Linked DNA regions of Anolis sagrei. The protein of the gene in region 4 purifies or fractionates together with the protein of the main gene of each other region. This does not show direct contact. Links are inferred from orthologs where the notes say so. Each region holds a gene or a part of one and is shown on either strand. Other genes may lie near its edges.

What was found.
Region 1: the proteins of WDR5 (region 4) and CCT7 purify together in Homo sapiens (affinity purification with mass spectrometry; 3 studies listed by BioGRID and IntAct, with this or other methods). This does not show direct contact. The link is inferred for Anolis sagrei from reciprocal best matches to the Homo sapiens genes WDR5 and CCT7.
Region 2: the proteins of WDR5 (region 4) and RUVBL1 purify together in Homo sapiens (affinity purification with mass spectrometry; 3 studies listed by BioGRID and IntAct, with this or other methods). This does not show direct contact. The link is inferred for Anolis sagrei from reciprocal best matches to the Homo sapiens genes WDR5 and RUVBL1.
Region 3: the proteins of WDR5 (region 4) and RERE purify together in Homo sapiens (affinity purification with mass spectrometry; 5 studies listed by BioGRID and IntAct, counting the BioPlex papers as one, with this or other methods). This does not show direct contact. The link is inferred for Anolis sagrei from reciprocal best matches to the Homo sapiens genes WDR5 and RERE.

The regions. Positions count from the first base shown.
Region 1 is NC_090025.1:5,459,115-5,467,108, reverse strand, and holds the start of CCT7 (T-complex protein 1 subunit eta), read right to left. Parts: upstream 3,018-7,994; 5' UTR 2,914-3,017; coding exon 2,908-2,913; intron 1-2,907. Other genes in the region: PRADC1 (protease-associated domain-containing protein 1), read left to right, coding at 5,704-5,773. UniProt on the Homo sapiens protein: Component of the chaperonin-containing T-complex (TRiC), a molecular chaperone complex that assists the folding of actin, tubulin and other proteins upon ATP hydrolysis.
Region 2 is NC_090022.1:55,532,654-55,540,052, forward strand, and holds the start of RUVBL1 (ruvB-like 1), read right to left. Parts: upstream 3,004-7,399; 5' UTR 2,910-3,003; coding exon 2,769-2,909; intron 1-2,768. UniProt on the Homo sapiens protein: Possesses single-stranded DNA-stimulated ATPase and ATP-dependent DNA helicase (3' to 5') activity; hexamerization is thought to be critical for ATP hydrolysis and adjacent subunits in the ring-like structure contribute to the ATPase activity.
Region 3 is NC_090033.1:2,658,273-2,665,610, reverse strand, and holds the start of RERE (arginine-glutamic acid dipeptide repeats protein), read right to left. Parts: upstream 3,007-7,338; 5' UTR 2,525-3,006; intron 1-2,524. UniProt on the Homo sapiens protein: Plays a role as a transcriptional repressor during development. May play a role in the control of cell survival. Overexpression of RERE recruits BAX to the nucleus particularly to POD and triggers caspase-3 activation, leading to cell death.
Region 4 is NC_090031.1:5,426,423-5,434,386, reverse strand, and holds the start of WDR5 (WD repeat-containing protein 5), read left to right. Parts: upstream 1-4,957; 5' UTR 4,958-5,157; intron 5,158-7,101; 5' UTR 7,102-7,181; coding exon 7,182-7,262; intron 7,263-7,964.

The DNA.
Region 1 (7,994 bases), on a different chromosome or scaffold from region 4:
TAGATGTCCTTGTTTATTTCCTCTCTGTTGTTGTGCTGTTCTAATTTTAGAGTTTTTCCTAGTTCCAACAGACCTCACTACCTCTAAGGATGCTTGCCATAGATGCAGGCGAAACGTCAGGAGAAATGCCTCTAGAACATGGCCATATAGCCTGAAAAAAACTACAACCCAGTGATTCCGGCCATGAAAGCCTTCGACAATACAATAATATTGTAATATGTTAATACTACTATATGAAATATAATTACTACTGATAATATATAATGATATACTGCTTTATTATTGTGTATTTGTATAACTGAAGGTTGCCAGTTCAAAGCCGTGGGTCGACATGAGCTACTGACTGTCAAGCCCAGCTTACTGTTGACCTAAGCAGTTCGAAAACAGACATAGCAAAATTAGGTAACGCTAAGGATCGGAAAATGCTGGGCAACTAAAAGGAAGGAAGAAGTCCTGATGGCTCTTCATCATAGAGAATGGAGTGACAGAGCTGGATTCGAGCACAACTTCTTAGGCACCAAAAAAGCTAAATGTTGAGTCGAAACAACACACCTCCTTCTGTTCTGTCTTTGTATTGTCTATACAAAAGGACATTGAATGTTTATAGTGTATATGTACTGTGATCCGCTCTGAGTCCCCTTGGGGAGATAGGGTGCAATATAAATGAAGTGTTGTTGTTGTTATTATTATTATTATTGAGCTATATTGCGTGAAATTGTGTTATATGAGTCTACACCAGGTATGGACAAACTTGGGCCCTCCAGGTGTTTTGGACTCCAACTCCCACCATTCCCAACAGCCTCAGGACCCTTGTAAATATTAAAACACATTGTATTGTCGAAGGCTTTCATGGCCGGAATCACTGGGTTGTTGTAGGTTTTTTTGGGCTGTATGGCCATGGTCTAGAGGCATTCTCTCCTGACGTTTTGTCTGCATCTATGGCAAGCATCCTCAGATGTAGTGAGGTCTGTTGGAAGTAGGAAAATGGGTTTATATATCTGTGGAATGACCAGGGTGGGACAAAGGACTTTTGTCTGCTTGAGCTAGGTGTGAATGTTTCAACTGACCACCGTGATTAGCATTTGATGGCTTGGCAGTGCCTGGGGGAATCTTTCTTTGAGAGGTGATTTGATGTGCCTGATTGTTTACTCTCTGTTGTTTTGCTGTTGTAATTTTTGAGTTTTTTAATACTGGTCGCCATTAGGTTCTTGTAGGTTTTTTCGGGCTATAGGGCCATGTTCTAGAGGCATTTCTCCTGACGCTTCGCCTGCATCTATGGCAAGCATCCTCAGAGGTAGTGAGGTCTGTTGGAAATAGGAAAATGGGTTTATATATCTGTAGAATGACCAGGGTGGGACAAAGGCCTCTTGTCTGCTGGAGCTAGGTGTGAATGTTTCAGCTGACCACCTTCATTAGCATTTGAAGGCCTGGCAGAGCCTGGGAAAATGTTCTGTTCAGAGGTGTTAAGATGTGCCTGGTTGTTTCCTCTCTGCTGTTTTGCTGTAGTAATTTTAGAGTTTTTTAATACTGGTAGCCAGATTTTGTTCATTTTCATGGTCTCCTCCTTTCTGTTGAAATTGTCCACATGCTTGTGGATTTCAATGGCATGCATGTGGACAATTTCAACAGAAAGGAGGACACCATGAGAGGAAACAACCAGGCACATAACACCTCTCAAAAGAACATTTTCCCAGGCTCAGTCAGGCCTTCAAATGCTAATGAAGGTGGTCAGCTGAAACATTCACACCTAGCTTCAGCAGAGAGCTCTTTCCCCCACCCCAGTCATTCCACAGATATATAAACCCATTTTCCTATTTCCAACAGACCTCACTACCTCTGAGGATGCTTGCCATAGATGCAGGCGAAACGTCAGGAGAGAATGCCTCTAGAACATGGCCCTATAGACCGAAAAAACCTACAAGAACCTAGTGATTCCAGCCATGAAAGCCTTCAACAATACAGAGAGTAAACAATCAGGCATATCAAATCACCTCTCAAAGAAAGATTCCCCCAGGCACTGCCAGGCCATCAAATGCTAATCAAGGTGGTCAGTTGAAACATTCACACCTAGTTCCAGTAGACAAGAGTCCTTTGTCCCATCCTGGTCTTTCCACAGATATATAAACCCTTTTTCCTAGTTCCAACAGACCTCACTACCTCTGAGGATGCTTGCCACAGATGCAGGCGAAACGTCAGGAGAAAATGCCTCTAGAACATGGCCCTATAGCCCGAAAAAACCCACAAGAACACCTCCTCCTGTTCTGTCCTTGTATTGTCTATACAAAAGGGCATTGAATGCTTGCCGTGTATATGTACTGTGATCCGCCCTGAGTCCCCTTGGGGAGATAGGGCGGAATATAAATTAAGTGTTGTTGTTGTTATTGAGCTAAATTGCGTGAAATTGTGTTATATGAGTCTATACCAGGTATGGACAAACTTGGGCCCTCCAGGTGTTTTGGACCCCAACTCCCACCATTCCTAACAGCCTCAGGACCTTTGTAAATATTAAAACACATTCATACATTTGTAAGGGAAAGGCAAGGCGAGAACAAACTACAACTCCCATGATGCCCCGCGCCAGCCGCTCCCTTCATTGAAGAGGCGAGGTTCCCCAACTACTTAGTGGGAATGGGAGTCTGATTAGAGACCCCAGCTTTCGCCTAATGCGCATGCGCGCCCCTTCTCCTGTTACACCCGCTACAACGAGGCTCCAAGCGGCCTCCATTTTTGCCCCGGCTCAGCCCCCGAACTCCTCCGGCCCCGCTGCCAATATGGCCCCGTTCTCACGGGGGAGACTCTTCCGGAGAAGGCAAGACCCTTCCCGGTGATAACGGGCCTGACTCTGAGGCGGATGGCGGCGGATAACCCCCGCTTGCCATGCCCGTCCTCTTCCCCTCAGTCACTCACCATCATCTTGGCGGCCGCCCTGTTGCTAACGGTTTCCCTGCCCACAATGCACCGCGCGCACCCAGAAGCTTCGCCGGCGCTTGAGTGGGCGGAGCCAAGGGGAAGAGGAGGGGCTTGAAGGTGCAAAGGCAGAGAATGCTATATAGAGGTACTAAGGTTAAAGATACTCAGTACCACACAGTTTGGCAGCACACTTCCGAGTTCGCATTGCTATATAGAGCTAGTAAAACGGATGCTCAGTGCCTCGCAGTTTGGCAGCACACTTCCGAGTTCGCAGGGCTTTTATATTATTATTTTTTGCTTTGTTTACAGAAAAAAAATCATTTATTATTATTATTATTATTATTATTATTGAAAAACTGGGAACTCTTGGCTATCTTTCTGCAGAGAAAAAAGAATAATATGATAATTTCAGAATGTTTTTATATTTATTTGTCTGTTTGTTTACAGAAAAAAATCAATTATTATTATTATTATTGAAAAACTGGGAACTCTTGGCTGTCTTTCTGCCGGAAAAAAAAAAGAAGAATATGATAATTTCAGAATGGTATAGCATGCTGTCATGGCAGTTAAAGGCCAGTGGAAGGCCTTGGGAAAACTGCAACTCCCAGGATTTCAAAGCCTTGAGCCAGAGCAATCCAAGTGGTGTCAAGCTGCATTCATTCTGCAAGGCAGGTCCACCCTCCAATTTCATTTATTACATTGATTTACTTAATGAACTAATTAATCGGTGGCTATGGTTTCCAGGTGGAAGACGGTCCCAGTTGGGGTTGGCTTGATGTGCCTTCCTCTTGGCACGTTTCTCTCACCCTCCATTCATGCCTCTTCAAATTCTGCAGTACTGCTGGTCACAGCTGACCTCCATCTGGAGCACTCAAGGGCCAGAGCTTCCCAGTTCTCAGTGTCTATGCCAGAGTGTTTAAGGTTGGTTTTGAGCCCATCTTTCAATCTCTTTTCCTGCCCACCAACATTCCGTTTTCTGTTCTTGAGTTCGGAATAGAGCAACTGCTTTGGGAGACGGTGGTCGGGCATCCAGACAACATGGCCAGTCCAGCAGAGTTGATGGCAGAGGACGATCACTTCAATGCTGGTGGTCTTTGCTTCTTCCAGCACACTGACGTTTGTCCGCTTGTCTTCCCAAGAGATTTGCAGGATTTTCCAGAGGCAGCGCTGATGGAATCATTCCAGGAGTTGCATGTGACGTCTGTAGACAGTCCACGTTTTGCAGGCATAGAGCAGGGTTGGGAGGACAATAGCTTTATAAACAAGCACCTTGGTATCCCTACGGATGTCCCAGTCCTCAAACACTCTCTGCTTCATTTGGAAAAATGCTGCAATTGCAGAGTTCAGGCAGTGTTGAATTTCAGCGTCAATGTTGACTTTGGTGGAGAGGTGGCTGCCAAGGGAGCGGAAATGGTCAACATTTTCTAATGTTACACCATTAAGCTGTATCTCTGGCATTGGAGAGGGATTGGCTGGTGACTGCTGGAACAGCACTTTGGTTTTCTTGATGTTGAATGACAGGCCGAGCTTCTCGTATGCTTCTGCGAAGGTGTTTAGAGTGGCTTGTAGGTCTTCTTCTGAATGCGCACAGACGACGTCATGCAGTGTAGATGTACTGCAATAACTAAAGCAGTACATCAAGCAAGCAATTGATTGATGTACAGTGCATTCTACTGTGTGGATGCACTGGAATAACAAAAGTTCGACTGCATTCATTCTACAGTGCAAATACACTGCAATGACTAAACTCCATTCTTCCTATAGTGTAGATGTACTGCAATAACTAAAGGTAACCTGCATTCATTCTACCGTGTGGATGCACTGCAATAACTGAATCATAGAAGCATAGAATCAAAGAGTTGGAAGAGACCTCATGGGCCATCCAGTCCAACCCCATTCTGCCAAGAAGCAGGAACATTGCATTCAAATCACCCCTGACAGATGGCCATCCAGCCTCTGTTTAAAAGCTTCCAAAGAAGGAGCCTCCACCACACTCCGGGGCAGAGTTCCACTGCTGAACGGCTCTCACAGTCAGGAAGTTCTTCCTCATGTTCCAATGGAATCTCCTCTCTTGTAGTTTGAAGCGTCCTAGTCTCCAAGGAAGCAGAAAACAAGCGTGCTCCCTCCTCCCTGTGGCTTCCTCTCACATATTTATACATGGCTATCATATCCCCTTCTCTTCTTCAGGCTAAACATGCCCAGCTCCTTAAGCCGCTCCTCATAGGGCTTGTTCTCCAGACCTTTTATCATTTTAGTCGCTCTCCTCTGGACACATTCCAGTTTGTCAATATCTCTGAAGTCAAACTGCATTCATTTTACAGTGTAGTCAGGCATGGCCAAACTTTGGCGCTCCAGGTGTTTTGGATTTCAGCTCCCACAATTCTTCACAGCCAATAGAATGTTAGGAATTGTGGGAGCTGAAGTCCAAAACACCTGGAGGGCCAGAGTTTCCCCATGCAGATGTATTGCAATAACTAAACTTAACCTACATTCAGTCTCCAGTGCAGATGCACCCTGAATAGTTCCAGAGTCTTGAATCAAGTGGCAGAAAAAGGGATGTGCAAGCTTTTTGGAAATGCCTTGCCCATTTCCTCTTTCCATCCTATCAGAAGCCACCTGGTAGCCGAAAACCCAGTGATGACGGATGCGAGACCCTGCCCAATGGCATCACCAGGAGATCCCTGTTGTCCAATGAGAGCCAGCCGGGAGAGAAGGCTTTCCCCGCCTCCTGTCACTGAAGATTTGGATGCCAGGCTTGCAACAGAGCCAGGGGCTGGAGGAAGGACCTGAGCCATGGTGGCCCTTTGGCCTGGAGGGCCCCTCTGGGGACACCTCCTCTTTTGCTTTTCCTCCTTGGCGCACGGTAAGGAACCCACGGCTTGCTTGATTTCCCTCCCTTGCAATTGCACCCTGCTTTTAGGCTGAGAACAGAGTTATAAGAGACCTCAAAAGGCCATCCAGTCTGGTCCCTTTCTGCCAGAGAGGAAGGCACCATCCAAACCCTCCTGGCAGATGTCCACCCAGCCCTCCAGAGAAGGAGGCTCCACCAGACTGTAATGCAGCCGCATATTCCACTGCCAAAGAAGGTCTGACCATCAGAAAGTTCTTCCTAATGTTTCAGCGAGATCTCTTTTAAACCCATAACTCCATTGTGCATTAGTTTCTGGAGCAACAGAAAACAAGCCGTTATTTAAGCCTGGCTGTCCTACTGCATTGGGATGAACAAAAGAACAGTCATGTTGGAGCCGACAAAAGGTCTTTCGAACCCAACACTCATTTCCTACAGTTGCCAAATAGCAACTGCTTCCCCTTTGGGTTGCTTTTCGTTTTTCGTGCTGTCTGGTCATCTCCCAGAAGCATTCTCTCCTGGCGTTTTACCCACATCTATGGCAGGCATCCACAGAATCATAGAATCATAGAGTTGGAAGAGAACTTGTGGGCCATTATCCAGTCCAACCCCATTCTGCCAAGAAGCAGGAATATTGCATTCAAAGCACCCCTGACAGATGGCCATCCAGCCTCTGCTTAAAAGCTTTCAAAGAAGGAGCCTCCACCAGACTCCGGGGCAGAGAGTTCCACTGCTGAACAGCTCTCAGTCAGGAAGTTCTTCCTCATGTTCAGATGGAATCTCCTTTCTTGTAGTGTGAAGCCATTCTTCCGTGTCCCAGTCTCCAGGGAAGCAGAAAACAAGCTTCCTCCCTCCCCCCTGTGGTTTCCTCTCACATATTTATACATGACCCTCATCATGTCTCCTCTCAGCCTTCTCTTCTTCAAGCTAAACATGCCCAACTCTTTAAGCCGCTCCTCATAGGGCTTGTTCTCCAGACCCTTGATCATTTGAGTCGCCCTCCTCTGGACACATTCCAATATCTCTCTTCAATTGTGGGTGCACAGAATTGGACACAATATTCCAGGTGTGGTCTAACGAAAGCGGAATAGAGCATGGGGAGCATGCCTTCCCTAGATCTAGACACTAGGCTCCTCTTGATGCAGGCCAAAATCCCATTGGCTTTTTTTTTTTTTGCCACCACATCACATTGTTGGCTCATGTTTAACTTGTTGTCCACGAGGACTCCAAGATCTTTTTCACACGTACTGCTCTCAAGCCAGTCATTGTCCCCCATTCTGTATCTTTGCATTTTGTTTTTTTCTGCCTAAGTGGAGTCTCTTGCATTTGTCCCTGTTGAACTTCATTTTGTTGGTTTTGGCCATTCATCTCTCCAATCTGTCAAGATCGTTTTGAATAGTTTTGAATCCTGCTCCTGTCCTCTGGAGTATTGGCTCTCCCTCCCAATTTGGTCTCGTCTGCAAACTTGATGATCCTGCTTTTTCATCCGTCATCTAAGTCATTTATAAAGATCCTGATCAGGACCGGGCCCAGGACAGAACCCTGCAGATGGCCCTCCACTCGTCACTTCTTTCCAGGATGAAGAGGAAGCCCTGGGGAGAATCAGCCTCTGGGTTCGTCCATTTACCCAATTACAGATCCGCCTCACCGTAGTTTTGCCTAGCCCACATTGGACTAGTTTCCTTGCCAGAAGGTCATGGGGGACCTTGTCAAAGGCCTTCCTGAAATCCAGGTACGCTCCATCCACGGCATTCCCCGCATCTACCCAGCTTGTAACTCTATCGAAAAAAGAGATCAGATGAGTCTGGCATGACTTGTTTTTGAAAAATCCATGTTGACTATTAGCAATGACCGCATTTGTTTCTAGGTGTTTGCAGACCACTTCCTTAACAATCTTTGCCAGAATCTTGCCTGGTATCGATGTGAGGCTGACCGGAAGGTCATTTTTTTCCTTCTTGAAGATTGGGACCACATTGGCCCTCCTCCAATCTGCTAGGATTTCTCCCGAGGTTGTGAGATCTGTTGGAAATTAAGCAAGTGAGGTTTATATATCTGTGAAATGTCCAGAGTGGGAGAAAGGATTCTTGTCTGCTTGAAGTACATGTGAATGTTCCAATTTGTCTCCTTGAATGGCCTGCAGCTTGAAGTCCTGGCTGGTAGCTGCCTGGGGGAATCGTTTGTTGGGAGGTGTTAGCTGGCCCTGATTTATTATTGTCTGGGAAAGTTACCCTTTCAG
Region 2 (7,399 bases), on a different chromosome or scaffold from region 4:
GTAATTCCATTATAAATTTGATAATTATTATTATATAAACCAGCTTTTATTATTTCCCAAATATACAATAATGCACAACTCCTTACTCAATATAAGCAAATAACAGCGAAAGTAATAAAAACGTATACCTCTCCAGTTGAAAAACTGTCTATAGAAATAGACAATTTATCCCGGCTTCTAAGGCTATTTGCAACACTCTGCAATGCTGGTTAACTGGCATAACTCCTCTCTGGCTAGGTGGTTATAGCAATGCTTAACTAATATAATGTATACAACTGAGCCACAATGGTGAAATAAGTTTATTTATTTTGTGTCAAAAGCATTGCATAAATGAGTATAAAACTGATAAAATAAAGGGAACACAAGCAGCTAAAAATTTAGACCAAAAACAGGCAACAGCAACTGTATTGTCTGTAGCTTTAAACAGTTCTTCCTCTGTGCATGTGGCAGGGCATTGTGGGCAAGCATACAGATGCGGAGTTGTTTGTTCTGCTCCACAACAGCAAAAGGTAGAGGATTGTTCTAGGTACTGCCATTTTGCCAGATTGTCTTTTGATCTCTCAACACCACTTCTGAGTCTCTTCAGGGACTTCCAAGTTGCCCATTCTTGGTTTGCCCCTGGAGGAAGATCCTCGTAGGGGGCTATCGAGTTGGAATAGCCCAATTTTTCTGCCCACAGGGATATTCAACAGTGAAATAAGTTAAAACTTCTATAAGAAGCTAGACTTGTTATATGGAGCATACATATATGAAAATGTGCCTAGAATGGGATATGAGTATGTAACTACACAAGTTACTTGATTTATTGTATACTGCAAATCACTTCTGGTGTGAGAGAATCAGCCATCTGTAAAGACGTTGCCCAGGGAATGCCTGGATGTATTACCACCCACATTATCACAAGATGTCTACGCCCTTTACTACTGGAAACATTGTACTGTTTAGCCAGTATTGTACCACCTGATAACCTTCAGGAAGTAGCAACCAGTAATGAAAGGACCAAGGCATTGACATCTTCGGCCCATCCTCTGTACAGATACCAGCCAGCATGCCAATATCTTAAATAAAGAAATAGCCTCCTAAGACCTACAGAGATATGCGTAGGACAGTGATGGGCAACCTTTCGAGTTTGGTGTGTCAATACTCGCCAAAAAACCGAGCATAACTCGAGTGGGGTGTCACTTCGAGAATAACCCATAATTTCATGATATTTATAGTTTAATAACAAAAATATATTATTGTAATATATAACTGTATTTAATAAACCAAAAACTAATTATTTAAGTTACCTGCTTTTTCTATAATGCCATATATCTCGGCATCATAGAAAAATGCTGGTGTAGGAGCCGAGGATTAAATGTCTTCTCTGTATGCTGCCGCATATCATCGAAAATGGCTATGCGTGTCTGTGCTGACACACGTGTCATAGGTTCGCCATCATGGGCGTAGGAACACTTCGGCAAGTGAGAATCCAAAAGTGGCAGGTAAAAATCTGGAACCTCAATCAGTGGCTGATTTTGTTGTTGTTGTTTATTCGTTCAGTCATTTCCAACTCTTCATGAGCTCATGGACCAGCCCACACCAGAGCTTCCTGTCGGCTGTGGCAACCCCCAAGTCCTTCAAGGTCAAACCAGTTACTTCAAGGATTTATTTATTTACGACATTTATATGCCACCCTTCTCACCCTGAAGAGGACTCAGAGCGGCTTACAAGGTGTATATATATACATACGATATATTATATTATTAGCAAAGTACAATATCAGTATTAAATATTACTATATTGTACTATACCACTATATTGTAATAGTAATATTACATGTAATATAAATATATAATTATAATATCATATTATTATTAGTATTATAAGGAGCCCCCGGTGGCGCAGTGGGTTAAGCCCCTGTGCTGGCAGGACTGAAGATCGATAGGTCATAGGTTTGAATCCGGGGAGAGGCGGATGAGCTCCCTCTATCACCTCCAGCTCCTCATGCGGGGGCATGAGAGAAGCCTCCCACAAGGATGATAAAAACATCAATTCATCTGGGCATTCCCTGGGCAACTTCCTTGCAGACGGCCAATTCTCTCACACCAGAAGCAACTTGCAGTTTCTCAAGTCGCTCCTGACACGACAAAAAAAAATAGTACTAGATTGCATTACATTATAACATTATAAATATTATACGTATATACAATATATTATATTACATTATGTTATATTATTAGAATAGCACAGGAGACAAGGTGGAACTGTCCCCTGGCCCCCTATCTCTTCACTCTGGCCCAGATGGATGCCATCCATCCATCTTGCCCATGGTTGACCTCTTTTCCTTTTTCCCCAGCATCATTATCTTCTCCAAGCTTTCCTGTCCTCTCATTACGTAGCCAAAGTACTTCAATTTTGCCTGTAATATTCTTCCTTTCAGTAAGCAGTCAGGCATTATTTCCTGGAGTATGGACTGATTCGATCTTCTTCCAGTCCAATAATTTTTCTCCAACACTACAGTTCAAAAGCATCTTCCTTCACTCAGGTTATGAGGAGTCTTGAATTTGTGGGTCTGGACCAGGCCTGGGCCAACTTGGGCCCTCCAGGAGTTTTGGACTTCAATTCCCACCATTCCTCAGCTTAAGCGGCTGAGGGGGAAAAGGAAAGGGCCTGAGGCTGTGAGGAATGGTGGGAATTGAAGTCCAAAACTCCTGGAGGGCCCAAGTTGGCCCAGGCCTGTTCAGTCCCTTCAAAGGGGCCTCCCTCTTGGCCTGAGGCCTTCTCACCTCCCTGGCGTTCTCCTGCCCGACCAGCCCCGCCGCCGCTGCCTTGGCCGCGCCGCCCTCGTCCAGGCCCAGGCCCTTGACATGGCTGTGGGCGGCGATGCGCTGCGTCTTCGAGGTGCTCTTCACCTCCTCGATCTTCATCCTCGACGCCTCTCTCTTCGCCTCCGCCCCACGCGCTGCTCACAAGCAAATGTGCCGCGCGTTACCAAGGCTCCCGGCGCTCGAGTTCCGTATCCCCGCCCCCTCCGAATCATTGGCTGCTGGCAGAGGATTCTCCCTGGCCATTGGACGAGACCGCTGTCACTCAGTTCAAGCCCCGCCTACAGAAGTTGACTTGGTGCGGCGTAGAAAGATCTCCGGTGTCACCCTGGCACTGAGGGAGGAAGGTACCGCGCGAGGAGATCATTTAGCATTGGGCCTTTTGAGGGTGGCTCAGCACAAGAATTAGGGCGTTGTACTTTTATCTTCTAATCAAGGTGAAAGAAGAAAGGGCAAAAGCTGGGTTGCATCAAAAAACCAAGATTATGGTAACAAGAATGATTGACAACTGGGAAATAGAAGGAGAAAACGTGGAGGCCGTGACAGACTTTGTATTTCTAGGTGCAAAGATGACTGCAGACGCAGACTGCAGACAGAAAATCAGGAGACACTTACTTCTTGGGAGGAGAGCAATGACTAATCTTGATAAAATAGTGAGGAGTAGAGACATCACACTGGCAACGAAGATCCGCATAGTTAAAGCAATGGTATTCCCCATAGTCAACTATGGATATGAGAGCTGGGTCACAAGGAATGCTGAGCAAAGGAAGATCGATGCTTTTGAGCTGTGGTGTTGGAGGAAAGTTCTGAGAGTGCCTTGGACAGCGAGAAGATCCAACCAGTCCATACTTCAGGAAATAAAGCCCGATTTCTCATTGCAGGGAAGGATAGTAGAGGCCAAGATGAAGTACTTTGACCACATCATGGGAAGAAAGGAAAGCTTAGAGAAGACAATTATGCTGGGGAAAATGGAAGGAAAAAGGAAGAGGGGCCGACCAAGGGCAAGATGGATGGATGCAATCCTTGAAGTGACTGGATTGACCTTGAAGGAACTGGGAGTGGTGACGACCGACAGGGAGCTCTGGCGTGGGCTGGTCCATGAAGTCACGAAGAGTCGGAAATGACTGAACAAATGAACAACTTTTACCAAGCTTAGAGCCAAAAAATGCTCGTGGGCCATCCAGTTCAACCCCTTTCTGTCAAGAAGCAGGAAAATCACATTCAAATCAACCTAGACAGATGGCCATCCAGCCTCTGCATAAAAGCCTCCAACACACTCTGGGGCAGAGAGTTCCACTGCTGAACAGCTCTCTGGAAGTTCTTCCTAATGTTTAGGTGGAATATCTTTCCCTGTAGTTTGAAGCCTTCCCCATCATACACCACAAAACAATACACCAATCCCTCCACACCCCAACCACCACCACACTGCCCCCAATGCCACATCAGTGTGAAACTATTGAGTTCAACATAGCCACAGCTCTAGGAAAAAAGCTATCTCTCAGTCTGCTTCTCCTTGTCTTTGTCACCCTGTACCATCTGCAAGATGGCAATAATTAAAAAAAAAATGACAGGTGAAATGGATCCCCAAGAATGTTCTGAACTTTCTTAAAGCAACAGGACTTATAAAGGTCTTCCAAACAGGGGAAAGAGCAATTAATGATTCTCTGTGCAGAAGTGGTGATCCTTTAGAGTGCCTTCGTGTCTGCCACTGTGCAGTTACCAAACCATGCTGAATAGCTCTCACAGTCAGAAAGTTCTTCCTCATGTTCAGGTGGAATTGCCTTTCCTGTCATTTGAAACCATTGTTCTGCGTCCTAGTCTCCAGGGCAGCGGAAAACAAGCTTGCTCCCTCCTCCCTAAGACTTCCCCTCACATACTTACACATGGTCTCCTTTCAGCCTTCTCGTCTTCAGGCTTGTCAATACCTATTGGTTTTAACTAGTTTTTGCCTCCGCAGTGCAATACATTTTTAAACCCAATACAATTTTTTAACTGTGTATTTCTTGTGATATTGTTTTAAAAATTTTCATTTATGAGGTTGTTGTTTATTCATTCAGTCGCTTCTGACTCTTTATGACCTCATGGACCAGCCCACACCAGAGCTCCCTGACAGCCCATCATCACCCCCAGCTCCTTCAAGGTCAAACCAGTCACTTCAAGGATACCATCCATCCATCTTGTCCTTGGTTGGCCCCTCTTCCTTTTTCCTTCCTTTTCCCCCAGCATCATCTTCTCCAAGCTTTCCTGTCTTCTCATTATGTTTATGAGTATTGGTTATATATTGTGTCTTGTCTTTTTAGTTTCTGCTTATGTATGTATTGTGACTTGATTCCGTTGTGAGCCGCCCCGAGTCCTTGTGGGGAGGGGTGGGATATAAATAAAATTCATTATTATTATTATTATTATTATTATTATTATTCATCTGGTGTTAAAATTCAGTGACTAGATATAGTTGACAAGTTAGCAAATAATAAAAAATGTCAGCATAGCTGGATCCTATAAACAGCACATCCCATGTGATGCTGCATATTTCTGGAGCAGCCAATACAAATTGGGTATCCCTTATCCAAAATCCTTATGACCAAAAGTATTTTGGATTCATATTTATAATGGAACACACACGCGCACGCACACACACACATCATGATATGTCTTGGAGGTGGGAACCAATCAAAATATAAAATTGATTATATATACACTGTACACATAGCCTCTTGGTACATAATATCTAATAATTTTGTGAATCAAACAAAAGTGTATGCACATTGAACTATTAGAAAGCAAAGATGTCAGTTTCTCACATCCATGTGAACAATTTTTTAATTTTGGAGTATTGTATTTCAGATTTTCAGATAATGGATGTTGAACCTGTATGTTGCTTTAGGCCTTCTCCATGGAAGTGGATGGTTGTTTCCCATAACAAAGGACTGAGGTTATTCAGACCAAGCTGCCCACTGACATAGCTGATCAGAAAAACTAGTTCACGAGACTCAATGCTGCAAGCAGTACAACAATCTTGTGCCATACTTCTAGTAGACATGGCCTTGTTGATCTGTTTCTATATTAAAAGTTATAAATTAAGACATAAAAACTCCACCCATCAAATTGAAAAGTACACTATGAATATATCCTGAATACATTGCATGTAAATCATCTTGTTTTGTTCATTGTTTTCATTTGTTCATTGTCTTGAAGTGATTTAGCCAGGACCACAGATAGGAGGATTTGTGCCCGATGAGGGTATGCTAAACCAAAAAAGCCAGGACAGAGAAAACAACTCATCAGGTTGAAGATAAGCCACAGAGATTTATTACAATTCAGCCAGAAGGGATGCAGGTACAAGTAATTTGCTTTAAAATGTACAAGCATAAACATGCGGGGAATGTAAGACATCTTATACAATTCTGACAGCCATTCAAACCTCCCGCCACCTCCTCTAATTGGCCAGAAAAGAGGATGGCTCTTTTCCCTGCTGGGATTGATCGAAAGCTCTGCTGACATCACAGCTTCCAGGCAGGGATTTGCTTGTCGGGGAGGATGGCAGCCGGAGATTGGTCAGAGTGAAGAACCAATCAGCTGCAGAGGGAGCGATCTTGGAGAAGATAATACCAATTATATGTTAATGAATTTTTGAGTAGCTCAATTGTTCAGTTCCATGTTAAACGAAGATATGGAGCTCCAGAAATAAAGGTGTGAGACTCGGAGGACAAAGGTGCCAGTCCTAGGCAAGCAAGGGCTTGGCTGTCAACAATGGAGTTAATGAAAGTTCACACTTTAAGCTCCTGTTCCCATGACGGAGCACCAGGCTCTCAACCTCAGGTGAATTACACCAACATCTGGCTTATGTTGCTGGCAGGGGAAATCACCTTTCTGTACATAATGAGCCTGATGATTATCTGGCTTGGGAAATAGCCAGAGGGATTTGCCCAACCTTCCTATTCTCAGGGGATTATCTCAGAGGGTGTCTGTCTCCGGGCTGCATTTTGATACATTTCTACAAGGTAATTTATACATTTTATACAGGAAAGAGATACAGTATATGGCTAAAAGATACAAGTTACACAACAATAATAAAATAAATACAATTTATTAAAGGGTTAGATATGATATATTTAATAGGAGTACGGCTGCTGCTGGATCTGTTCTCAATCTTCTGAAGTCCTGAACTTGTGCTATTCTGGACCTCTGGAAACGACCTTTTTTAATAAAGAAGGAAAAATCATATATTGGTCCTTGGTGAACTATAAAGCATTGGGGTGGGGAGGGGGTTACCATGGCTTGATAACAGTCCAAGGAGCCCTTGTGGGCTGTAAGGTGCTTACATTTCTTTAAATATATATATATACAGTAACAATTATAAACTTGTTGTTGTTGTTCACTCGTTCAGTCGTCTCCGACTCTTCGTGACCTCATGGACCAGCCCACGCCAGAGCTCCCTGTCGGCCGTTACCACCCCCAGCTCCCTCAAGGTCAGTCCAGTCACTTCAAGGATGCCATCCATCCATCTTGCCCTTGGTCGGCCCCTCTTCCTTTTGCCTTCCACTTTTGCCTTCCACTTTCCCCAGCATAAATTATTTCCCCAGCATAATTAT
Region 3 (7,338 bases), on a different chromosome or scaffold from region 4:
CAATAAAACAAGCCATCATCAGCAACTATCAATGACATATTTCACATCTCATGGTGTCATTCCCTCCTGTCAATTGCAATACTGAAGAAACAACACAAAGCATTTTGTGAGAGAAGGTGCCTGTTGTGTAGTTTGATAGGCCAGTGTTGTTAGGCATATGTATGTCTTTCCTATTTGTGTCTTTCCTCCCCTTCTCCCTATTAATTGCAATACTGAAGAAACAACACAAAACATTTTGTGAGAGAAGGTGCCTATTGTGTAGTTTGATTGGCCATTGTTGTTAGGCATGTGTATGTCTTTCCTATTTGTGTCTTTCCTCCCCTTCTCCCTATTAATTGCAATACTGAAGAAACAACACAAAACATTTTGTGAGAGAAAGTGCCTGTTGTGTAGATTGATGGGCCACTGTTGTTAGGCATGTGTATGTCTTTCCTTCCCTTCTCCCTGTTAATTGCAATACTGAAGAAACAACACAAAACATTTTGTGAGAGAAAGTGCCTGTTGTGTAGATTGATGGGCCATTGTTGTTAGGCATGTGTATTTGATAAAGCACCATCAAAGCACCCCTGACAGATGGCGATCCAGCAATACTACTACTACTACTACTACTACTAATAATAATAATAATAATAATAATAGTTGGAAGGGACCACATGGGCCATCTAGTCCAGCCCTCGGCCATGCAGGATAAGCACAATCAAAGCACTCCTGGCAGATGGCCATCCAGCAATAATAATAATAATTTTATTATAATAATGGAATAATAGAATAATTTATAATAATAATTGGTGTCTTTCCTCCCCTTCTCCCTGTTAATTGCAATACTGAAGAAACAACACAAAACATTTGGTGAGAGAAGGTGCCTGTTGTGTTGTTTGAAAGGCCATTGTTGTTAGGCATAATAATAATAATAATAATAATAGTTGGAAGATACCACATGGGCCATCTAGTCCAACCCCCTGCCATGCAGGATAAGCACAATCAAAGCACTCCTGGTAGATGGCCATCCAGCAATAATAATAATAATTTTATTATAATAATGGAATAATAGAATAATTTATAATAATAATTGGTGTCTTTCCTCCCCTTCTCCCTGTTAATTGCAATACTGAAGAAACAACACAAAACATTTTGTGAGAGATGGTGCCTGTTGTGTGGTTTGAAAGGCTCTTGTTGTTAGGCATGTTGTTAGGCATAATAATAATAATAATAATTCCTATTTGTTGTGTAGTTTGTTGTTCATAATAATAATAATAATAATAATAATTGGTGTCTTTCCTCCCCTTCTCCCTGTTAATTGCAATACCGAAGAAACAACACAAAACATTTTGTGAGAGAAGGTGCCTGTTGTATAGTCTGATAGGCCATTGTTGTTAGGCATGTGTATTTGATAAAGCACTATCAAAGCACCCCTGACAGATGGCCATCCAGCAATACTACTACTACTACTAATAATAATAATAACAATAATAATAGAATAATTCATAATAATAATAACAATAATAATTGGTGTCTTTCCTCCCCTTCTCCCTGTTAATTGCAATATTGAAGAAACAACACAAAACATTTTGTGAGAGAAGGTGCCTGTTGTGTAGTTGGATAGGCCATTGCTGTTAGGCATGTGTATGTCTTTCCTATTTATTGTGTAGTTTGATAGGCCACTGTTGTTAGGCATGTGTATGTCTTTCCTATTTGTTGTGTAGACTGATAGGCCATTGTTGTTTGGCATGTGTGTGTCTTTCCTATTGGTGTCTTTCCTCCCCTTTTCCCTGTTAATTGCAATACCGAAGAAACAACACAAAACATTTTGTGAGAGAAGATGCGTGTTGTATAGTTTGATAGGCCATTGCTGTTGTGTAGACTGATAGACTATTGCTGTTAGGCATGCATATGTCTTTCCTATTTGTTGTGTAGACTGATAGGCCATTGTTGTTAGGTATGTGTATGTCTTTCCTCCCCTTCTCCCTGTTAATTGCAATACCGAAGGAACAACACAAAACATTTGGTGAGAGAAGATGCCTGTTGTGTAGTGTGGTAGGCCAGTGCTGTTAGGCATGTGTATCCCCTTCTCCCTGTTAATTGCAATACTGAAGGCACAACACAAAACATTTGGTGAGAGAAGATGAAGGCACAACACAAAACATTTGGTGAGAGAAGGTGCCTGTTGTGTAGACTGATATGCCATTGTTGTTAGGCATGTGTATTTGATAAAGCAGCATCAAAGCACCCCTGACAGATGGCCATCCAGCAATACTACTACTATTACTAATAATAATAATAATAACAATAATAATAATAATAATTGGTGTCTTTCCTCCCCTTCTCCCTGTTAATTGCAATACTGAAGGCACAACACAAAACATTTGGTGAGAGAAGGTGCCTGTTGTGTAGTTTGGTAGGCCACTCTTGTTTGTGTCTTTTTTATGTCTTTCCTCCCCTTTCTCCCTGTTAATTGCAATACTGAAGGCACAACACAAGTAGACAAACAAAAAAAGCCCCACCAATGGAAGGCCCTCTGACTTACCTTCTCCCCCTGGAGTCACACCATGAGTGGGCTTTGTCTGGAGGTGGGCTGGAGGAGGAGATCCCAAACAAGAGCTTGGACAGAAAAGAAGGGATTGGGAGGGAGGGAGGGAGGAAGGGTCTTGAGTCAGGATGTGTGGGGAAGGAAGGAAAGAAAGAGGGAAGGAAAAGGAGGGAAGAGGAGCCTGGTTCCCTAATGCTTTCAGGCCTTCAATGTGGGGAGGGAGGGAGGAAAGAGGGAAGGCCTCTCTTGTTCTGGGGAGGAGGAAGGCCTTCAACGTGAGGGGGACAATGAGGAAGAGCAGGGGGAAGCAGGCTGAGGGGAACCGGCTAGGCCCAAAGGGAAGCCTTCCTCTCCCTCTCTCTCTCTCTGTGTCTCCTCCTCTCCCTTCCTTCCTTCCTTCCTTTCTTCCCTCCTCTCTGTTCCCCTCACACCGCCACCCCTTCAGACAGGGACAGGGCTGCTGCTGCTACCGCCACACGCCAGTATCGCGCCTCCTGATTGGCTCCCGCACCCGGCCTGGAGGCGTGCGCGTGCGGCGGCGGGGCGCTGATAGTAAATATGGGCGGGGCGCCCGACCCAAGCACCAATCCGCGCCGTCGAAACGAAACGAGAGAGTGATAGGTGAAGCGGCGGGCTTAAAATGAGACGCGGCGCGGGATTGGGCGAAAGGCGGGGAAAAGGGGGGCGGGGCAGGAGGAGGGCCGTCCTCGCGCCGGCGACGGTTGGGGGGGGGAGGGGGGGAGGGGGGGAGGGAGGGAGGGGGGAGGAGGAGGGGAGGGGCGGGGCTCTTTTTTTCACCTCATGGTGAGACCACGTGATACCATCTATTCCAACCCCCTGCCATGCAGGAAGAGCACCATCAAAGCACTCCTGGCAGATGGCCATCCAGTAATAATAATAATAATAATAATAATAGATAATAATAATAATAGTTGGAAGAGACTCCATGGGCCATCTAGTCCAACCCCCTGCCATGCAGGAAAAGCACCATCAAAGCACCCCTGACAGATGGCCATCCAGGCATAATAAGAATAATAAGAGTTGGAAGAGACCACATGGGCCATCTAGTGCAACCCCCTGCCATGCAGGAAAAGCACCATCAAATCACTCCTGGCAGATGGCCACCCAGCAATAATAATAATGATAATAAAATCATAGAATAATTGATGATGATGATGATGATGATAATAATAATAATAATAATAATAGGAAGTGGCCACAAGGGCCATCTAGTCCAACCCCCTGCCATGCAGTAAAAGCACAATCAAAGTACTCCTGGCAGATGGCCATCCAGCAATAATAATAATAATAATAATAATAATAATAATGTGGAAAGAGACCCCATGGGCCATCTAGTCCAACCCCCTGCCATGCAGGAAAAGCACCATCAAATCACTCCTGGCAGATGGCCACCCAGCAATAATAATAATAATAAAATCATAGAATAATTTATTATAATAATAATAATAATAATAATAATTGGAAGAGGCCACAAGGGCCATCTAGTCCAACCCCCTGCCATGCAGTAAAAGCACAATCAAAGTACTCCTGGCAGATGGCCATCCAGCAATAATAATAATAATAATAATAATAATAATAATAATAATGTGGAAAGAGACCCCATGGGCCATCTAGTCAAACCCCCTGCCATGCAGGAAAAGCACAATCAAAGCACCCCCGACCGATGGCCATCCAGCCATAATAAGAATCAGAGAATCAGAGAATAATAGAGTGGGAAGAGACCCCATGGGCCATCTAGTCCAACCCCCTGCCATGCAGGAAAAGCACCATCAAAGCACCCCCGACAGAAGGCCACCCAACCATAATAAGAATAATAGAATCAGAAAATAATCGAATGAGAAGAGACCACATGGACCATCTAGTCCAACCCCCTGCCATCCTCTTCCAAGAGAAGTTTGCTTGGTTCTGATTCTTTTCCATCATTGCTGGTAAATCGTTTTGGGGTACGTCTGAATAGTTTCGGGGTATATCTGAAGCTCCACGGCCCACATAAATAATAAGTAGCCAAATAGATCTGCCTGACGTTATGATATTATAATTATATATTTTATATTGCATGTAATATTACTAATAATATTACAATATAATGGTATAGTAAAATATAGCAATATATAATACTGATATTATACTATGCTAATAATATAATATATTGTATATATACTGTCCTTCTCTTCCTTTTTGGAAATCCTCCTAGAAGAAGCCTTCCTCCGTTGTGATTGGCTGGCTTCTCAGCCAAGGGGCAAGGGAGAGCATGCGAGGCTGGAGGGAGGCTTGGCCAGTTCAGAATGCTCTTTGATTGTAGGTGAACTATAAATCCCTCAACTACAACTCCCAAATGTCAAGATCGATTTCCCCCAAATTCCATCAGTGTTCACATTTGGCCATATTGAGTATCTGTGCCAAGTTTGGTCCAGATCCATCACTGTACTCTCTGGATGTAGGTGAACTACAACTCTCAAACTCCAAGGCTAACAACGCCCACCAAACCCTTCCAGTATTTCCTGTTGGTCGTGGAAGTTCTGTGTGCCAAGACTGGTTCAATTCCTTCATTGGTGGAGTTCAAAATGTTCTTTGATTGCAGGTGAACTATAAATCCCAGCAACGACAACTCCCAACTGTCAGTGTCTATTTTCCCCAAACTCCACCAGTGTTCACATTTGGGCTTATTGAGTATTCATGCCAAGTTTGGTCCAGATCCACCATTGTTTGAGTCCATGGTGCTCTCTGGATGTAGGTGAACTACAACTCCAAAATTCAAGGTCAGTGCCCACCAAATCCTTCCCAGTATTCAAATTTGGGCATGGAGTTCTGTGTGCCAATTTTGGTTCAATTGTAGGAAGTTTGGCCCAATTCTATCGTTTTCGGAGTTCAGAATGCTCTTTGATTGTAGCTGAACTATAAATTCCGGCAACTAAAACTCCCAAATGTCTAGGTCGATTTCCCCCAAATTCCACCAGTGTTCACATTTGGGCATATTGAGTATCCGTACCAAGTTTGGTCCAGATCCATCACTGTACTCTCTGGATGTAGGTGAACTACAACTCAAAAATTCAAGGTCAATGCCCACCAAACCCTTCCAGTATTTCCTGTTGGGCATGGGGGTTCTGTGTGGGAAGTTTGGCCTAATTCTATTGTTGGTGTTCAGAATTCTCTTTGGTTGTAGGCGAACTATAAATCCCAGCAACTACAACTCCCAAATGTCTAGGTCGATTTCCCCCAAATTCCACCAGTGTTCACATTTGGGCATATTGAGTATCCGTACCAAGTTTGGTCCAGATCCATCACCGTACTCTCTGGATGTAGGTGAACTACAACTCCCAAACTCAAGGTCAATGCCCACCAAACCCTTGCAGTATTTCCTGTTGGTTGTGGGAGTTCTGTGTGCCAAGTTTGGCTCCATTCCATCGTTGTCGGAGTTCGGAATGCTCTTTGATTGTAGGTGAACTATAAATTCCAGCAACTACAACTCCCAAATGACAAAATAAATTCCTGAACAGTTCAGGCCCTGCCTATCTTTGTGACCACATTCTAGCCACAATGGTCCGCAATGAATGGTCCGGCCACCACTGCCCTTTTCATCCGTGCCCTTCTTCCTTAGTGACCATTTGCACTTTTTCATTCCCTTGTTTTGTTTACAATTTGGCCGGGCCTTACGCCAGTTGTCACCATTCTGGGGTGTTATTCTGAGTTTTGAATCGTTTTGTGTGCTATTGCTTTTACTTTTTTGTATTGTACTGTGTAGGACCCGTGGTGGTGCAGCGGGTTAAACTGCCGAGCTGCTGAACTTGCTGATCAAAAAGTTGGCGGTTCAAATCCAGGGATGGATGGATATGGATAGATAGAATGGATGGATGGATGGATGGAAAGATGGGTGGATACATGGATGGATAGAAGGATGGATGGATAGAAGGGTGGGTGGGTGGATGAGTAGATGGATGGGTAGATAGAGGGATGGATAGATGGATGGATGGATGGATGGATAGAGGAAGGGATGGGTAGATGGATGGATTGATTGATAGATGAATGGATGGATATATGGATGGATGGATATATGGAGAGAGGGATGGATGGATGGAATAGATGGATTGATAGAGGAAGGGATGGGTAGGTGAATGGATAGATGGATGGATGGATGGAGAGAGGGGTGGGTGGGTGGATGGATGAGTAGAGGGATGGGTAGTTAGATGGACGGATAGATGGGTGGGTGGATGGATGATTGGGTAGATGGATGGACAGATGGATGGGTAGATGGATGGATAGATGTGATAGATGGATAGATAGATAAATACATGGATGGATAGATAGAGGGTAGATGGATTGAGGGATAGATGGATGGATGGAGGGATAGATGGATGGATAGAAGGATGGATGGATTGATAGATGGATGGATGAGTAGATAGATGGATGGATAGAAGGGTGGGTGGGTGGATGAGTAGATAGAGGGATGGATAGATGGAGGAATAGATGGAATAGATGGATGGATAGATAGAGGAAGGGATGGGTAGATGGATGGATTGATTGATAGATGAATGGATGGATAGATGGAGAGAGGGATGGATGGATGGAATAGATGGATGGATAGATAGATAGAGGAAGGGATGGGTAGGTGGATGGATGGAGAGAGGGGTGGGTGGGTGGATGGATGAGTAGATGGATGGGTAGTTAGATGGACGGATAGATGGGTGGGTGGATGGATGGATGGGTAGATGGATGGACAGATGGATGGGTAGAGGGATGGATAGATAGATAAATACATGGATGGATTGATAGAGGGATGGGTGGATGGATAG
Region 4 (7,964 bases):
GGGTTGTTGTAGGTTTTTTCGGGCTATATGGCCATGTTCTAGAGGCATTCTCTCCTGACGTTTCGCCTGCATCTATGGCAAGCATCCTCAGAGGTAGTGAGGTCTGTTGGAACTAGGAAAAAGGGTTTATATATCTGTGGAATGACCAGGGTGGGACAAAGGACTCTTGCCTGCTGGAGCTAGGTGTGAATGTTTCAACTGACCACTTTGATTAGCATCTGATGGCCTAGCAGTGCCTGGAGCAAACTTTTGTTGAGAGGTGATTAGATGTCCTTGTTTGTTTCCTCTCTGTTGTTGTGCTGTTATAATTTTAGAGTTTTTAAATACTGGTAGCCAGATTTTGTTCATTTTCATGTTTGCCACAGATGTAGGCAAAACGTCAGGAGAGAATGCCTCTAGACCATGGCCATATAGCCCGAAAAAACCTACAACAACGCAATTATTATTATTATTATAGAGTAGCACATGGTGAAAACAGAAGAGCATGCTTGCTCCATCAATACATAACATTTAGACCCTGTTGGTTCTCTTGGACATCCCAGCGGCTTTTGATACCATCGATCATGGTATCCTTCTGGGACGACTCTCCGGGATGGGCCTTAGAGGTACGGCTTTGTCCTGGAGGGTCGATCCCAGGTGGTGAAGCTGGGTGACGCCTGCTCGGACCCCTGGCCTTTGACCTGTGGGGTCCCACAAGGTTCCATTCTGTCCCCCATGCTTTTCAACATCCTGATGAAACTGCTGGGAGACGTCATCCGGAGTTTTGGAGCTGGGTGCCATCTCTACGCAGATGACGCTCAACTCTACTACTCTTTTCCACCTAACTCCAAGGAAGCCCCTCAAGTGCTAGACGAGTGCCTGACCGCTGTGGCTGTCTGGATGAGGAGGAACAAGCTGAAGATCAATCCCGACAAGACAGAGGTCCTCCTGGTCGATCGTAAACCAGTCCGGGATATAGGGTGGCAACCTGTGCTGGACGGGGTTGCACTCCCCCTGAAGTCACAGGTCCGCAGCTTGGGGGTCCTCCTGGAGTCTTCACTTACGTTTGAGGCTCAGGCGTCGGTGGTGGCCGGGAGGGCCTTTGCACAATTAAGACTCGTGCGCCAACTGTGACCGTACCTCGGGAAGGCGGATCTGGCCAAAGTGGTCCATGCTTTAGTCACCTCTAGACTGGATTACTGCAATGCACTCTACGTGGGGCTGCCCTTGAAAACGGCTCGGAAATTCCAGATGGTCAAACGGGCGGCGGCCAAGTTGCTAACTGGGGCTCCTTAGAGGGAGCGGTCATCCCTCCTGTTCAAGGAGCTCCATTGGCTGCCATTCATTTTCCGGTCCCAATTCAAGGTGCAGGTTCTTACCTACAAAGCCCTGAACGGTTTGGGACCCGCCTACTTGCGTGACCGCACCTCTGTATTCGAACCCACACGATCCCTTTGATCATCCGGGGAGGCCCTGCTCTCGATCCCACCAGCATCGCAGGCGCGGTTGGTGGGGACGAGAGAGAGGGCCTTTTTGGTGGTGACTCCTCGACTCTGGAATTCTCTCCCTAAAGACATCAGACAGGCCCCAACCCTGGCAGTCTTCAGGAGGAGCTTGAAGACGTGGTTGTTCCAGTGTGCCTTCCCGGAATAATTGATTCCATAGCACCTTGTCCTCCAAAGCACTTTACATTTTTAAGGTCTGCTCATATGCCCTTCCATAAATGCCACTATCACCTTCTCGTCCATGTCCCAGCATTACTTCCAATTTTAATTTACATTTGGCCTTCCCACTGTTTTTAATTATGTGTTGTCTTATTGATAATGTTGTATATTTTATTTGTCTATGTTTTATTTTAATTGCTTGTACTGTTGTTATTGCTTGTATTGATGTACTGTGGGCTTGGCCTCATGTAAGCTGCACCGAGCCCCTTGGGGAGATGGTAGCGGGGTACAAATAAAGTGTTATTATTATTATTATTACTATTATATTACATTATAATATATATATATTATTAGCATAGCACAATATTAGTGTTCTATATTATTATATTGTACTAGACCACTATATTCATAGAGTTGGAAGAGACCTCCTGGGCCATCCAGTCCAACCCCATTCTGCCAAGAAGCAGGAATATTGCATTCAAATCACCCCTGACAGATGGCCATCCAGCCTCTGTTTAAAAGCTTCCAAAGAAGGAGTCTCCACCACACTCCGGGGCAGAGAGTTCCACTGCTGAACGGCTCTCACAGTCAGGAGGTTCTTCCTCATGTTCAGATGGAATCTCCTCTCTTGTAGTTTGAAGCCATTGTTTCGCGTCCTAGTCTCCAGGGAAGCAGAAAACAAGCTTGCTCCCTCCTCCCTGTGGCTTCCTCTCACATGGCTATCCTATCTCCTCTTAGCCTTCTCCAGGCTAAACATGCCCAGCTCCTTAAGCCACTCTTCATAGGGCTTGTTCTCCAGACCCTTGATAATTTTAGTCACCCTCCTCTCGACACTTTCCAGCTTGTCAATATCTCTCTTGAATTGTGGTGCCCAGAATTGGACACAATATTCCAGGTGTGGTCTAACCAAAGCAGAATAGAGGGGTAGCATTACTTCCCTAGATCTAGACACTAGGCTCCTATTGATACAGGCCAAAATCCCATTGGCTTTTTTCACCGCCACATCACATCTTTGGCTCATGCTTAACTTCCTGTCCACGAGGACTCCAAGATCCTTTTCACACGTACTGCTCTCGAGCCAGGCATTCTCGCCCATTCTGTCTCTTTGCATTTCGTTTTTCCTTCCAAAGTGGAGTATCTAGCATTTGTCACTGTTGAACTTCATTTTGTTAGTTTTGGCCCATCTCTCTAATCTGTCAAGATTGTTTTGAATCCTGCTCCTGTCCTCTGGAGTATTGGCTCTCCCTCCCAATTTGGTGTCGTCTGCAAACTTGATGATCATGCCTTCTAGCCCTTGATCTAAGTCATTAATAAAGATGTTGAACAGGACCGGGCCCAGGACGGAACCCTGCGGCACTCCGCTCGTCACTTCTTTCCAGGATGAAGAGGAACCCTTGGGGAGAATCACCCTCTGGATTTGTCCATTTAACCAGAACCCCCCTCTTGGTTCGTCCATTTAACCAATTCCAGATCCACCTCACCATAGTTTTGCCTCGCCCACATTGGGCTAGTTTCCTTGCCAGAAGGTCATGGGGGACCTTGTCGAAGGCCTTACTGAAATCCAGGTACGCTCCATCCACGGCATTCCCTGCATCTATCCAGCTTGTAACTCTATCAAAAAAAGACATCAGATGAGTCTGGCATGACTTGTTCTTGATCAATCCATGTTGACTATTAGCAATGACCGCATTTGTTTTTAAGTGTTTGCAGACCACTTCCTTAACAATCTTTCCCAGAATCTTGCCTGGTATCGATGTGAGGCTGACCGGACATTGGTCATTGTTTGGGTCCTCCTTTTTTCCCTTCTTGAAGATTGGGACCACATTGGCCCTCCTCCAATCTGCTGGAACTTCTCCCGTTCTCCAAGAACTCTCAAAGATGGTTGCCAATGGTTCCGAAATGACTTCCGTTAGTTCCTTCAGTACTCTTGGGTGTAGTTGATCTGGCCCTGAAAGGGGACTTGAACTCATTTAGAGCGGCCAGGTATTCCTGGACGACTTGTTTCCCAATTTGGGAATCTCTCTAATCCCTCATCCACTCCATCTTACGGAGATTGAAAATGACTTTCTTTTTGTGAGAAGACCGAGGCAAAGAAGGTATTAAGTAGTTCTGCCTTTTCCCTATCCCCTGTCAGCATTGCCCCATCTTCTCCTCAAAGAGGCCCTATCGCCTCCTTGTTTTTCCTTTTTCTACTGACATAAGAAAAGCCAGCAACTACTTAAATCAAGAAATAGTTTTCTTAGATCTACAGAGACACTTGCTGGAATACCTCAGCAAGCAAGAGTCCAAAAGTGGCAGGCTCAAACCCAGAACCTCAACCAATGGCTGATACCAAATGAGAGACTCCCCCCTGGGCACACAGAAAACTGGGCGACTTGGAAGGCTCTGCACAAACTGCGCTCACCACGAGATGCAGAGCCAACCTCAAGAAATGGGGCCACAAAGTGGAATCCACGACATGCGAGTGTGGAGAAGAGCAAACCACTGACCACCTGCTGCAATGCAACCTGAGCCCTACCACATGCACAATGGAGGACCTCCTTACGGCAACACCAGAGGCACTCCAAGTGGCCAGATACTGGCCAAAGGACATTTAATCAACTACCAAGTTTGCAAAATTTGTTTTCTTTTTTCTGTTGGTTTGTTGTGTTCTGTTAGAAATGTAATACAATTGTATGCTTGCTGATGACACGATAAATAAATAAATAAGCACAATATTAGTGTTTGATATTATTATATTGTACTAGACCACTATATTGCTATATTATTAATAATATTAGATGTTCTATATAATATACAATTATTATATATATTTATTGTATTGTATAATAATATTATCCCATTACATATATAATACATTAACAGTATATTATACAATTAGTAATATATATATGTGTGTATCTACACACACACACACACACACACACACACATATATATATATATTTAATACTTCTTCATACAAAATGCCAAAATCATATAGAGATATATTTAAGTCATGGATACAGATCAGTTCGGCCTATTCTTCGAAATTTACTGAAAATCCCCTAAAAATGCTTTCAGAACGTTCATTCCAAGCAGGCCAAAGAATTCGCCCCTGTCCCTTTAAGGCGTTTTGCGCGCGCTCAAGTCTCTTAAGTATTGTTTTGAGATCTTTTTATCCTTCGCGGGCCGCCGTAGCCGAGGGAGGCCCCCTCCTGCGCGTGCGCCAAGGGAGGCTAAGCGAAAAGATGTCGCTCGCGTTGCCTATTAAGATTTGAAGGCTCTTTTTATCCCTCGGGGGCCACCGTAGTCGTAGGGAAGCTATCCTTCTGCGCCTGCGCGGGGCGGATTCTCGCTGCGGCCGGCCTGAGGAGCGGCTGCGTCCTTCCTCACTGCGCCTGCGCGAGAGGCCTTCCTCCCGCCCGGCGGCCAGAAAAAGGAAAACGGGGCCGCCGCTGAGAGAAAAAGGACGGAGGAGGCGAAGGAGAAGGAAGAGGAAGACATCCTCCCTTCCGTCGTCAGGGGCGAATCGAGTAAGGCGGGAAAGGCGCAGGCCCAACGACTAGGCCTCAGTGGCGATGACGTCATGGGGTCCTTTTTGCCCCCCTCCCCCTCCCTTCTCTGCCCCGAAGAGCTTCCAGTTCTATAGATACAGATTTAGGGATGCTTTCATGGGTTTTTGTGTGTCTGGCGAACTGAAAGTCTTCCATTGCTGAGATATGCAAGGATTATGCGTGTGTGGCCAGTGTGTACACGTGTGTGGCCGTGCACACGTGCTTTGAGAGGAGAAGCCTGAGCTAAAGTGGGATCAATGCAGTTTTGCAGCACTTGAACTGCCATGGTTCAGTTCTATGGCATCCTGGGAGTTGTAGCAATATCAGGTCTCTAGAATGCATCTACATTGTGGAATTAATGCAGTTTGGCCCCACTTTAATTGCCATGGCTCAGTTCTATGGCATCTTGGGAGTTGTAGCTTTATAAGGGCTCTAGAATGCATCTACATTGTGGATTTAATGCAGTTTGGTAGCACTTGAACTGCCATGGCTCAGTTCTATGGCATTGAGGGAGTTGTAGTTTTATCAGGTCTCTAGAATGCATCTACATTGTGGAATTAATGCAGTTTGGCCCTACTTGAACTGCCATGGATCAGTACTATGGCATCCTGGGAGTTGTAGCTTTATCAGGTCTCTGGAATGCATCTACTTTGTGGAATTAATGCAGTTTGGCTCCACTTGAAGTGCCATGTCTCAGTACTATGTCATCGAGGGAGTTGTAGCTTTATCAGGTCTCTAGAATGCATCTACATTGTGGATTTAATGCAGTTTGGCACCAGTTTAATTGCAGTAGTGCAGTGCTATGGTATCATGGGAGTTATAGCTTTATAAGGCCTCTGGAGTGCATCCATATTGAGAAATTAATGCAGTTTTGCCCCACTTGAACTGCCATGGTCAGTTCTATGGCATTTTGGGAGTTGTAGCTTTATAAGGGCTCTAAGGTGCATCTACATTGTGGAATTAATGCAGTTTGGCTCCACTTGAAGTGCCAAGGCTTAGTTCTATGGCATCCTGGGAGTTGTAGCTTTATCAGGTCTCTAGAATGCATCTACATTGTGGAATTAATGCAGTTTGGTCCCACTTGAACTGCCATGGCTCAGTTCTATGGCATCCTGGGAGTTGTAGCATTATCAGGTCTCTAGAATGCATCTTCATTGTGGAATTAATGCAGTTTGGCACTACTTGACCTGCCATGGCTCAGTTCTATGTCATCGAGGGAGTTGTAGTTTTATCAGGTCTCTAGAATGCATCTACATTGTGGAATTAATACAGTTTAGCTCCACTTTAATTGCAGTGACACAGTGCTATGGTATCATGGGAGTTACAACTTTATAAGGTCTCTGGAGTGCATCTATATTGAGAAATTAATGCAGTTTGGCACCACTTTAATTGCAGTGATACAGTGCTATGGCATCATGGGAGTTACAGCTTTATAAGGTCTCTAGAGTGCATCTATATTGAGAAATTAATGCAGTTTGGCACACTTTAATTGCAGTGAGGCAGTTGTCCTTTTATAAAGTCTCTAAGGTGCATCTAGATGGTGGAATTAATGCCGTTTGGGTACCACTTGAGCTATCATGGGGCATTGCTATAGCATCGTGGGAGTTGTGGCATTATAAGGTCTCTAGGGTTCATCTACATTGTGGAATCAATGTATAAGTTGTATAAGCTGTATAAGTTTTATAGGGTGTACCTACATTGCAGAATTAATGCGGTTTGGCATCAGTTTAACTGCTGTGGCACAGTGCTATGGGATTCTGGGAGTTGTAGCTTTATAAGGTCTCTAGGGTGCATCTATATTGTGGAATTCATTCAATTTGGCACTGTTTGAATTGCCACCCAAGTCAGTTTTGGAAAAACAATGTTAAAGCATTTACCGTATGAAAACAATTGGTTGGTTTCTTTTTCTGTCCGTTTCTCCAGGAGACTGCTTTTACTTCTAAGCCGTCGTGCTCTTTTGTCCTCGGAAGAGCCTGAAAGCTGGCTGGCTTCTTTCCAGAGCTATGGCCACGGAAGAGAAGAAACCCGATGCAGAGTCGACCAAAACGCAATCCACGCCTTCCTCTTCGACCAACCAAACCAAGGTACGACGGAGGCATCTGCCTCCCAAACTCAAATGCTCAAAAGGTTCGGAGGCTGCTTAGTATGTTGGATTCTTCCTAGCCCTGGAAATCCCAGTGTCATTTAAGGAGTTGGGTGAACATTGCTCAGGGAAGGGTTCATAAGTTGTACAGGCAGTCCCAAAGTTACGTACAAGATAGGCTCGGTAGTTTGCTCTTAAGATGAATTTGTATGCAAGTTGGAACCTGGACACAGCATATTATTTGAGAACACAGAAATGCTGGACCACTCTCACAACCACCATGTCAGACTACACAGAGAAGCCATTGAAATCCACAAGCATGTGGACAATTTCAACAGAAAGGAGGGAACCATGAAAATGAACAAAATCTGGCTACCAGTATTAAAAAACTCTAAAATTACAACAACAAAACAACAGAAAGTAAACAATCAGGCACATCAAATCACCTCTCAACAAAACATGCACTTCCCAGGCACTTCCAAGCCAATAAATGCTAATCAAGGTGGTCAGTTGAAGCATTCACACCTAGCTCCAGCAGACAAAAGTCCTTTGTCCCACCCTGGTCATTCCACAGATATATAAACCCATTTTCCTAGTTCCAACAGACCTCACTACCTCTGAGGATGCTTGCCATAGATGCAGGTGAAACGTCAGGAGAAAATGCCTCTAGAACATGGCCATATAGCCCGCAAAAACCTACAAC